Oryzias latipes: one gene and its partners. The main gene of each other region encodes a partner of the protein of the gene in region 3 in a complex. Links are inferred from orthologs where the notes say so. Each region holds a gene or a part of one and is shown on either strand. Other genes may lie near its edges.

Region 1 (4,060 bases), on a different chromosome or scaffold from region 3:
CTTTTTCCGATTATAATAAATGTTTACATGCGCCAGATGATCTTCTAAACGTGCTTTTATTATTGTTATGATTATTATGAAGCGCCTGCTTGCTCATTATTTATTTTTAATCTTTGTGGTCAGCTCTTTTTTTTCTGGGAGAACGGACCCGGAAGACGTTAGCGTTAGGAGTAGAAGGCTAACATGCGCTAACAACATTTAGCCTTGGATGAACATAAAATCCATGGGGGAAACGCCGCAATCTGCATCTTGGCTACATGTAAATATGTGGGAATAACATCAGCCTTTATTTTGTCGGGACACGAATGGAAACACAAATCCACGTGATTGTTTGAACGGTTTCTAAGGACTGAGCGACATTTCTGCTTTAAGCACACACCGCCCCAAAGCCGCTGTGTGCTCTGCTCGAAGACACAGTTCTACTGGGAGACCCGGCTCTCCTGAGTTTAGCAGCTCGTTCACCTAGAGCTGCAGTCCAAAGCCTCCCACTCATAGCACACACGTTACAAAGCACCCTCTCCTCCCCTCAAACACAAAGCTATAAGTCTGGCTTCTCTGCTCAGAGACACGGTTCACTCGATCCGATCAACAATCGGCATAACCCACCTATCTCGATTGGAAAGAAATTTTGATCAGAACAAGTCTGATCGGGGCAGAGTATTCCGAACGGCGTGTTTACATGACACATTTTTCTTCCGATCAGGTGTTCTTTCCAATTACTTTTGTCCATATAAACGCAGCTAGTAAGATAAACACAGATTTTGAAAAATGTTTTGAGTCAATAAATTGGAAAATTATGCAGTTTATACTTGTTGCATCTTAATATAAAAATGATGGGTGGAAAGGTGTGGATTTTACATGGTCTATTGCACTTTGTTTCATAAATGTCTCGAATTCTGCACTTGTGAAGCATGTCCCATTGTCTGATACCAACATCTTTGGAGGACCAAACACACTGAAACTCTGTCGCAATTTTTCAATGGTGATTTGTGAAGTAGCTGATTTCACCGAATAAATGGTTTTAGGTCATAATGGTTCTTCATCAGTAATACAAGCTCATTGAAGGACTTGTCTTTTGGCTTGTCTGGGCTGAGGAGGTTCGCATAAACTGTAGGTCGGTGCTCCAACTACACTTATCAACATTGCCTTTTGTCTGTCTTGATTGTCTATTTCATTGGCCGCAAAAAACTGTTCAAGTATTTCTGTATACTTAACCCAAGTTTGAGTCTTTGGATCAAACGCTGCTGGCGTGCCAATTGTTGCCATGCTTCACTTCTGTGGGAGGTTAACCACGTATCTTTCTGCTGCTTCTTTCTTCTTTTCTTTCTCTCTCTTTTTCTAAGGTCTATGGGCTTTTCTCCTCCTTAAAAATCCTCTTCACCAAAAAGATGTTGCATCTTCATATAAAAATGAAGGTCCCACACATTGAACTGGGTGCAACAGTTTTTCATTTGCATAACAGAACCTTTCTGAACAGTGGATGCTGTCCACCATGGTTCCTGACTTCTTCGTCTGTCACCACACGGCGCTACAACTCAATGAAACTTGTAGGCTTGCCCTCTGGTGGCCACTTACCTAATTACAATACAATATTAAACCAACAATCTTCTCAAATTCAACATACCACATTACTAAAAAATAAAAAAATAAATAAAAAAAGTAAGATGCGCTTTCAAACAATGCCTCAGAAATCAGTGAAATTATTTTATAGAGATATAAAAAAAAATTCAACAGCCTTACTTTGTTTTGAAGCGTTCCCGATGCTGTCCTTAAAGGCAGCCACTTTCTGATGGCTGTGGATTTCATCATCAGAAAGTCGGGCTATTCTCTCTGAGAACTGCTCCTTCACTTTGTCAGAAAGGCCGAACAAGGCCTCTGGTTGCTGTGCATTCACCTGCACCAAAGTGAGGCATATTAGATCATTTCTTTTTAGACTTATAAAAATGAGTCTGCGCTTTACAAACACGGATCTAATCAAAGCACAAACAAGCAAAAATAGGGACAGATAACGCTGCAGTAAATGACCTAAATGAATTATTGTTTTTAAACCTGATCCTCATCATAATAGTTACCTCGGATGTAACTTCTTTTGCGATGTCTACAAAGATGTTAATCTCCCTGTCCAGCTTGGCACAGTCCAGGATCATGGTCTCCAGCTCTTTGATGGAAGAGTTCATCTCTTCATCTGAAATGTAAAAAATATACACAAATATAAACTCAATTATTACAAAATATAAGTGCACGCTGAATGGAGCTTGGTCACATGTTTAGCATAATTGCGATAAAACACCATGTTCTTGGACTGCTTCACTATACTAACTGATCCTAGAAGAATAAAACCCATTTCTGATCACGTTTGCAGAAAATGATGCAGGCTCCGAATGTTTACCCTGAGATTCCACCACATCTATGGCAACGTCCGTCACGATGTCCATCCCCGTCGCAATGTCTGCCAAACACGATTTTAAATTGGACAATGCGCCGTTGACAGCACTCAGAGACATTGTGTTCGTAACTTTTATCCCTAAAGTCCAAAGAAAAATCACTGTGTGTTCACCGTTATTGATATCTTCCTTATGTTAACGGCTAGCTAGCTAACTGCTAGCCTTATACTCGCGCCGTCTTGCGAAAAGATGAGATATGCCAATGTATCTCAAAATAGAAAAAAAAACAAAAAAGATAAGTAACTATTCTTAATTCAAAGTACAACCAAAGATCAAACGATAACAAAAAAATAAGAAGGAAAAGGAAGAAAAGTAGTAAACATTTGAGATGAACGGAAGTTACAGTTTCACTTCCGTTTGTTTCTTCAAACTAAAAGCCATCAAATAAATTCATAAAGAAAACAACGAGCAGTAAAGAATTATACTGTATTTATTGATAAACAATACCACAAAATATTAGTATGGAAATGTTTTTGATTGAGCATTAAATGTACAGTTTATTAATACAAAACTTTATTGTTCTAGAAAATGAAATATGAACTACTTCTTGAAGCTTTTTTACATTTGACATTGTGGCCTTTTCTGGTTGAAATAAAAATGTATTTTTAACAAAACACATTTTGTTATAACATTGCAGAAACAGATTATAAGGCTGGGCATGAAATGTATATGGGGGGAAAAAAAGCACATCCTAATTTCTGAACAATTAATTAGAGCAAAATGATTGTTGCTTCTACCACAAAAATCTTTGCCACTAGATCAAGACTAATATAAACAAAGAAAAGTACAGTACAAACAAAGACTGCATCTTCAGTTTGATGTCCTTGTCCGGGGGCTCACAAAATAGTTCTGAATTCGTCAAAAATGAAACTGGGTACATGAGCTTCAACCACCTTAAAACAGATAGATAATAAAAAGAAATGCATGTTAACAATCCTTCAAGTTTGTAAAAACAAGCTGTCTTAGCATGACATAGCAATTCTTTTTCTTCCAGATACCTTTAAAATAAACCACCTCTAAAGTAACTGTTTTCTTACCTTGCGTGACAGTTTTGTGTATTTTACATAGTCTTCAAGGAACATCAGGGCCCCCACAACATCAGAGGGCATTTCAGGGATTTTCTGGCTGTGACACCAGTAAAAGACAAATTTAAGAAAACTGCAAACAATGGGTTTGATCAAAATGTTAAACTTTTAGTTACCTTGTGCACTGCTCCATAACAGAGCGGATGAACTGTCCAAGCAGAGCAAGGAAGTGCTGTGTGTATCTGGAGTGGAACTGCTTGAGCAGGGTGAGCAGACCCAGCACTAGTGGGGGCCAGTCGACAGGATCGGTTGCTTTCTTGCAGGTCATTCCTTTTACACAGAGAAAATCCTTAACTTGGCGTGTACACAGAAAAAGTCACCACAGAAATTCACAGATTCCAATCCATCAAGCTAAGATAGCGAGAAGTGAAACGCACCTTGATTTTTGTTGTACTGAAGTTTAGGCAGCTGAGCAATGATAAACAGGAGGTTGATGATGGGGAAGTAAGGAAGACGCTTTGTGGTGATGTAAATCTGTTTGAACCAAAAAGAAATAAACATTGTTTACTGGTGAAATGTGGCATTTTTAAC
Region 2 (4,263 bases), on a different chromosome or scaffold from region 3:
AGACATTTTGGCAAACTCACCAACTTTTTCCTGTTGGGAAAAACACAACATGAAGGAACTTGAGCAGTTTTCTGTCTATTAAACCCTTGGCACTTTCACAAACACATACCTGAGGAAGAAACTGGCAGAGGTTGCCGACTTGAATTTGCAGAGCCTTGACCTCCTCTTCTACCGTTTTCTGGTTGCAGTGTTTCCCATTCAGCATCCAAAGGGACTGATTATTTTCCACATGGATCTCCCTGTTAATGACTATGTTACCTCCTGTTTTGTACCTTCAACAACAGAACAGAGACAGTTACAAAAAATAAGTATGTTTAAGGGCACCAATGTTAAGGAGCTGTAAGCTTTTTCTATAAAACAACTGTGGCTGAAATGTCTGTTTTTAAAAGAATGAGTGACTTTGTGGAAATTATTTCACATAACTTACAATTCAATCTCAATGGACCCTTTATGGCAGCCACGCTTCACATAAAGCCCAACCTGAAAAAAAGGTAAAGGAAGTCAAACCTGTTTAAAGTCCTTGCAGCAATTCTAACTTTTTTCCAAAAATGTATACATTTCTGTGCTTTTTTCTCTCCTTTTTTCCCTTTTTGTCCTTTTCTGTGTATTGAACATTGCAACACCCCCTTGTTTGTTAAGTGATTTATAGGTTTAGGTTTGTCCTACCGGTACATGTTTTTGCTTTGTTTGTATCATTGAACTCAAAATAAGGGGTAAAAAACGTCTATGTGCCATTTCGTTTTATTTCTGTAATGTCCCTGTTGTATTTGAGTGAACTTAAAATCTATAACAAACATAAGTTGGAAGCATATTTAATTGATAAGGACAAGTGTGAAGAATAGTTAGAAACTGCCTTTAACTTTTATTACACTAATGGTTTAAACTTAAGTCACTAAGCATGTATTATCATCTCAAAATTATATTACATTTGAAGAAAGCACAACCAAGACTGTTTTCTCATAGCATTCCTCATCCTCCCTTTTTCCTTTTTGTGTGTGCTGGTGTTTGTGCTGTTTGTGACACTTGAAGCTTCTTGACCTTCGAGCATCTCGCCTGCAACAACCTGTGGCCGTGATTTTCACACCACTGTCCAGTGTATGATCTTCTGAATATGCAAATGCAGGGTTCTTATACCAAGACCATCTCTCTGAGCTTCGGTGTTCAGACTTTGAATGCACTATATTCATCTGTCTGTCCCCTTCGTGTTTGTACGAAGTAAAACTTCCACAAAAGATAAGTTTTGTCTCTGAGTCATTATTCATTCGTTTCTGTGTGCAGCAAACTGAAGGGTACGACCTTAACCTTATTTTTATCTACAGTCCTGTTTAGAATGATCAGTTTCCTCACAACAAGTAAATATTTGGCCAAAGTTTAAGTGAGTCATGGGATGCAACATTGCTGAACTGTTCAAGGTTAAGGCTTCTGTCAAAATCTACCAGTTACTCTGATCTTTTATAGAGAATCTCATCAACACACTTCAACTAAATAAATCCCAACAGTACATTTACCTTATCTCCTCTCCCCAGAACAGCGGTCTTTCCAGCCAGGCCCAGACAGATGGCACAAACAATGCTGGACTTGCCAGTTCCATTTGCACCAACAATCATGTTCAGATTTGGTCCAGGACACACCACAGAGTAGTCATAGGTCCTGCCAAAGTACAGCGAAGACACCGGTCATTTTCCAGCCACATGCAGGAAAGTCACACTTTAATTCTTCAAACAAAAAACATCAACATTACGGGTTTTATCTGTTTTTCAACAATTCAATTAAATTAATGATACGAGAAGAAGATTAAAGCACAGTGACACACAACGCGATTTTAACACAATAAACATACATAAAGGTACTCGTAGAAACCTGTTTATGTGGTTTGTGGAACTGTAAAACTCATGCTTGACACTAGTACACTGAATGTTACTGAAGACTGAATCTCACATTTTCTAATACTGTTCAAAGATGATGCAGAAATGCAATGAAGTGTAGAGAACTGTGTTTTACACTATATTAATGCACTTTTCATCTATTCTGTAGATTCTGTCATTCTTGTTGCAAATCATGTGATGTTTTTTTCCCTTTATTGAATATTATGACAATTTAAGGATGTTGGAAGATTTCAGTTAACATCACTGAAAATAATTCAGATGACATTAAATTGGCACTTTCAGTTTTGGGTTGTCAAACTCTCAGACACAAATGTGACATTGGCTCTTTGCTTTTAATATTTTCCAAATTTTGTAAATTAAAAAAAGACGAAAAAATACATTTGAGTTTAAAGACGTAAGAATAACAATTACTGGTAGACTACATCATATCCGAACCTGACAAAAGAGTTTTCATTTTTCTAAAGTTGAAGTCGTTTAGAATTAAAATACATAACATACACAACTGATGAGTTCTACGTTAACGGAGCAAAAACAGCCCAGCTTACTGACTTTATTCCTCTTCTACAACATCGGTAAACCAAAACACGCTTCAGTAAAACATATCATATGTCAGCTTGTCAGAGCAAATGTAGAGGCTAAGCTTTTACGGTAGTTTGGCGTTAGCATAGCTAGCTTAACTAGTGTGACTAGTGAAAAGGAGGTGGAACTTACAGGAAGTTTTTCATGGTGATGCGCAGAATGGAGCCCTCCACAAACGGATGAGCTTCATCGACATCCCTGGTCTTATAGAAGGCCTTGGAAGGAGTCTGTGAACTGTTGTTATGGTGGCTGAGCCGCTGCTTCTTACTAGGCTCAGCCATGTCAACAGACACTGATATACTAGTGATGGGAAGAACAGTTTGCCCTGCCGCGCTTTCCCGAGGCAAAGCTGAAAGATGATTGGTGAAGATAGGTCACGTGTGTCCACATTTGATGACGTAAGATTCTAAACAGTGCCCCACCCCCCCCCAAAAAAATGTTTTACTCTTTTATACTGAGAAATAAAGTAACCAGTATTTGAAACATTCTGTACTAAATAGAAACACCTGTACATATTTAAACTGTTTACATTAAACAAACTCTCTCACAGTTATTAATTTTATACTAGTGCAACCTCCTCCAAGCCCCAAAAAAGGGCACTGTTTTTTTATTTTTTATTTAACCCTGTTAAATTAATAAATAAACACAATTTTAAAAAGATATTTGTAAAAGACAACTATTTTTGTTGTTGCAATGGGATCAGATTATGTCTTGAAGTGTGTGTGGTGCAGGATCTGGAGCAGCCCACCAGCAACTAATTGTTGTTGTTTTTAAGTTTAATTCAAACATGTTAATAATAAGATAAATATTCTCTATTACTTGCCTGGAAATAAAGAGGAATGTTTTAAGCCTAACTTGGAATGTAGAAACTGTGTTGGCCTCTCTTACATGAACTGGGAGCTTATCCCATAGAACAGGGGCTTGATGGCTAAAGGCTCTACCTCCAAATAAATACAACTGTGTATGATCCGCATAACAGTGACAATCAATAGTGGGCAGCGTATAAAGCATAAAGGGGAAGGGTCCTAGAACTGAGCCCTGTGGGACTCCGTAGCTAACTCGAGTTCCATGAGAGGACTGTCCATTTACATTAACAAACTGGTCCCTATCGAATAAATAGGATTCAAACCACTGGAGGGCAAATCCTCTGATCTCTATGTCATACTCTAATCTTTGGAGTAAAATACTGTGGTTGATAGTGTCAAAGCCTGCACTGAGGTCTAACAGGACCAGAATAGACAGTAGTTCCTTTTCTGAGGCCAATAATAAGTCATTAGAGACTCTATATAGTGCAATTTCAGTGTTGTGGTGTAGTTTGAACCCTGACTGAAAATCTTCAAATTGACTATTGTCCTGTAGGTGGCGGTAAAGCTGCTTAACTACCACTCATTCTATGATTTTTGAAACAAAGGGGAGATTTTTTTTCTTCTTTACTTTATTATAAAGGGGAGATTTGATATTGGACTATTGCAGGCCAGATTGCCGGGATCTAAATTGAGCTTTTTTAGAATAGGTTTCACAACTACATATTTAAAAGACTGTGGCACATAACTTGTTTCTAGAGAGGTATTTATTATACTTAATAAATACTATAATAAATAATAGTTGCATTTGATCAGGTGACTTTCCAAATAAATCTCCATTTCATCACTTCTCCACCATTCGCAGCAGTTTTGAATTCAGAGCAGCCTATGAACATGCCCGTTCTTAAAGAGAGACATAACTCATTCTGTGTTTGTGGCTTTGCCGTTGAGAGAGTAGTAATGAGTCTGACAACAGGAAAGCAAGCAAAACATGG
Region 3 (3,500 bases):
AGATCTGCATCATGTGACTATTTCAAAGTATGGATGTGTGACGTCAGCACACATTCTCTATCATTGTTGATATGATAAATGTTCCACTGATCATTTCCTGATCTGTTGTTTAAAGTGTTCCCAGTGGTCTTTTAACGATGATGTGGTTTTTAGCCAAAATCCAAAAAACTAAGACAGACCTAGGACATAGTTTCTGCAGAGTGGCAGGAGTTCATTAGAAATCATTGGAGAAGTTACAATCTTAAATGTCCTCCATCGTCAGAAAAAGGTTCAAAGAACATGTAAAAAACACCAAACACAGGATTTTCATCAGAGTGGGTCTACAACTTACATCTATCCATAGATCTCCACCTTTTCTGGGAGCGGGTGGAGATCCTGTCGGCTTACCTCACACAGCCATTTGTCGTGCACGAGTCGGCTCAGGAGGTGCTCCGTCTCGCTCTTCTTCAGCTTTTTGGTGGTCATGGTGTCAGTACTGTTTAGGATGTCGGTGGAAGACGCCTTTCCGTTCTCAGAACACACAATCAGATCCACCTGGATGGAACCAAAGTCCCAGCAAATGTCTTGGTTACCAGAAGCTGAACACTACCAGGACACAAATGATGAGGGAGGGGGGTCTGTTAAAGACGTCTGTCATGTCAAACCTCTATCCATCCCTCCACCCATCCATCCACCCACCCATCCATCCCTCCACCCATCCATCCACCCATCCATCATCCATCCATCCATCCCTCCCTCCCTTCCTCCACCCATCCATCCATCATCCATCCATCCATCCATCCACCCATCCATCCATCCATCCATCATCCACCCATCCATCCATCCATCATCCATCCCTCCCTCCCTCCATCCACCCATCCAGCCATCATCCATCCATCCATCCACCCATCCATCCATCCATCATCCATCCATCCCTCCCTCCCTTCCTCCATCCATCCATCCATCCAACCATCATCCATCCATCCATCCATCCATCCATCATCCATCCCTCCCTCCCTCCATCCATCCACCCATCCATCCAACCATCACCCATCCATCCATTCATCCATCCATCCATCATCCATCATCCATCCACCCACCATCCATCCACCTATCCACCCATCCATCCATTCATCCATCCATCCATCTATCCATCATCCATCCATCCATCCATCCATCATCCATCCATCCCTCCCTCCCTTCCTCCATCCATCCACCCATCCATCCAACCATCATCCATCCATCCATCCATCCATCCATCATCCATCCCTCCCTCCCTCCATCCATCCACCCATCCATCCAACCATCATCCATCCATCCATTCATCCATCCATCCATCATCCATCATCCATCCACCCACCATCCATCCACCTATCCACCCATCCATCCATTCATCCATCCATCATCCATCCCTCCCTTCCTCCATCCATCCACCCATCCATCCAACCATCATCCATCCATCCATCCATCCATCATCCATCCCTCCCTCCCTCCATCCATCCACCCATCCATCCAACCATCATCCATCCATCCATTCATCCATCCATCCATCTATCCATCATCCATCCATCCATCCATCCATCCATCCATCCATCCATCCATCCACCCCTCATCCATCCATCCACCCATCCATGCATCCATCCATCCATCCAACCAATCATCCATCCATCATCCATCCACCCATCCATCCATCCATCCAACAATCCATCCATGCATCCATCCATCCATCCATCCACCCATTCATCCATCCAACTTCAAAGTTGAAGACTTGTATAGTATTTTCAGTCTAAAATACTATGTTTATGTACTAATAACTCCAAAATAACTACACAAATTTTTGTGATGAGATTTCTTCGTCGTGTGAATTCTTATTTTTGTAGTAACACATCATTAGAACAGATAAGGCATTTTGTTCTGAAAACAGCTCTGCTGTAAACCGTGTCATGGGGGAAACATGACGTTTCTTTATTTTTTTTATTTTTTTTTTCCTTATAATCTTTATTTAGGTAGGAAATGTGAGAAGCACATTCATTTGAACAACTTTAATAAGTTCCATTAAGTGAAGTTAATAAGCACTTCAACTTTGAATTTACATAATTTCTACCTTACAGCTTTTATTGTGAATTTTTTTTTTCTTTTTTTTTTTTTTTAACTTGTCCTGTCCAACAGCTGGGCAGACAGACGAGAGCTGAGGGCCTCTTGTGTTGGACATATTTTGCTTTAACAAGAGGGGTTATTAATCTTCTGACAAACCAAAGGTATGTCTGAATAAACCCCTTTTGTAATTGAGGCCAAACTTTATTAATTTCAATCATGTCTGAAAATCTTTGGTGTTGGACCGGACGGAAAAGGAAAGAGGGGAAGAAGAGAGAGGGACGCTAGAGAGAGGGGGCGGTAGGGGGTGATAATAGGAGGGGAAGGGGGATAAGACTATGAAGCAGCATAGAGCAGACAGGTTTACTGGTTGTTAATCATTATGGTAAGGTTCAAATGCAGTACAAAAATGGCGGGGCCCGTCCACACACACACTCAAATGTTATAAACACACCTGCTAGCTGCAAAAATGTCCACCTGTCGACATGTACACAAAACAGATAGTGTTCACACGCATACTTATGCCTTAAAACCAACTAGTGTGAAATATTTCAGTCATTCAGTCATGCAAGCTATTAGTGCAAAGGTGAGCTAACACCAGTGCTCAGGTGAGGTTTTATGTTCTTCTAAAATGGATGGTGGAACGTGAAAAGAAGGAGGGAGAGTGCCCAGCCATCCCCACCCCAAGACCCCTACCGCAGCAGCAGCGGCAGCCGGAATCCCCCCAACGCCACACGGGAACCGGCAGGGAACAACCGCCGCCCGGTCGACCAAGCCCGCCACCCAGGCCAGGGCCAGCAGGGCCGCCGCAAGGCCCCCAGAGCCAGAGGCCAGGGAAGCACGGAGGGAAAGAGAGCGCCGCCCCAGCCCAACCAGGAGAGCAGCCCCCCCGCCGCGCCGGGAGAACCCAACGCAGAGCCCCACCGGAGAAGGACGCCCACAGCCCCAAACAAGCACCCCACCACCACCCAGGAGTTCCGGGCATCCCCCCGCCCCAACCCCAGGTACGAGCCAGGACCCCCCAAGGGAGACCCGCTCCGCACTCCAGGCAGCCATCCGCCCGGCCCACGGTTGGTCCAGGGAGGAGCGAGGCAGGGGGCCCGCCGCCCCCGCCCAGGAGGGGGGAACCGCGGGGAAAAAAAGAGGGCCCACAAGGGGTGTTATAAATATGGCCCGACCAGGCTCGGCCACAGTTGGAAATTTGGCGGGGCCCAGCACTCAGGAGCAAGGACCAGAACCCACCCCCCAGGGACCAGATACCCCCGGCACAGATGTAATGTGAACTCCCCCACCGCGCGGAGAGAGCACCGCCGGGCCCAGGAAGCCGGCACCCCGGGGACACGGCCGCCGTTGCAAAGGGGCCCGCACCCCCCACCAGGGAAGAGGCAGGGGACAGATGGACCCAGGTCCCACCTTCCTTGCAAAAT

What was found.
Region 1: nsmce1 (region 3) and nsmce2 share a complex: the UniProt entries of both Homo sapiens proteins name them as parts of the SMC5-SMC6 complex. The link is inferred for Oryzias latipes from reciprocal best matches to the Homo sapiens genes NSMCE1 and NSMCE2.
Region 2: nsmce1 (region 3) and smc5 share a complex: the UniProt entries of both Homo sapiens proteins name them as parts of the SMC5-SMC6 complex. The link is inferred for Oryzias latipes from reciprocal best matches to the Homo sapiens genes NSMCE1 and SMC5.

The regions. Positions count from the first base shown.
Region 1 is NC_019874.2:13,948,426-13,952,485, reverse strand, and holds the start of nsmce2 (E3 SUMO-protein ligase NSE2), read right to left. Parts: upstream 2,801-4,060; 5' UTR 2,505-2,800; coding exon 2,390-2,504; intron 2,186-2,389; coding exon 2,073-2,185; intron 1,895-2,072; coding exon 1,741-1,894; intron 1-1,740. Other genes in the region: washc5 (WASH complex subunit 5), read right to left, coding at 3,281-3,337, 3,482-3,569, 3,646-3,799, 3,907-4,003. UniProt on the Homo sapiens protein: E3 SUMO-protein ligase component of the SMC5-SMC6 complex, a complex involved in DNA double-strand break repair by homologous recombination. Is not be required for the stability of the complex.
Region 2 is NC_019865.2:11,201,561-11,205,823, forward strand, and holds the start of smc5 (structural maintenance of chromosomes protein 5), read right to left. Parts: upstream 2,801-4,263; 5' UTR 2,747-2,800; coding exon 2,598-2,746; intron 1,651-2,597; coding exon 1,509-1,650; intron 481-1,508; coding exon 428-480; intron 273-427; coding exon 110-272; intron 31-109; coding exon 1-30. UniProt on the Homo sapiens protein: Core component of the SMC5-SMC6 complex, a complex involved in repair of DNA double-strand breaks by homologous recombination.
Region 3 is NC_019859.2:37,070,588-37,074,087, forward strand, and holds part of nsmce1 (non-structural maintenance of chromosomes element 1 homolog), read right to left. Parts: intron 535-3,500; coding exon 388-534; intron 1-387. UniProt on the Homo sapiens protein: RING-type zinc finger-containing E3 ubiquitin ligase that assembles with melanoma antigen protein (MAGE) to catalyze the direct transfer of ubiquitin from E2 ubiquitin-conjugating enzyme to a specific substrate.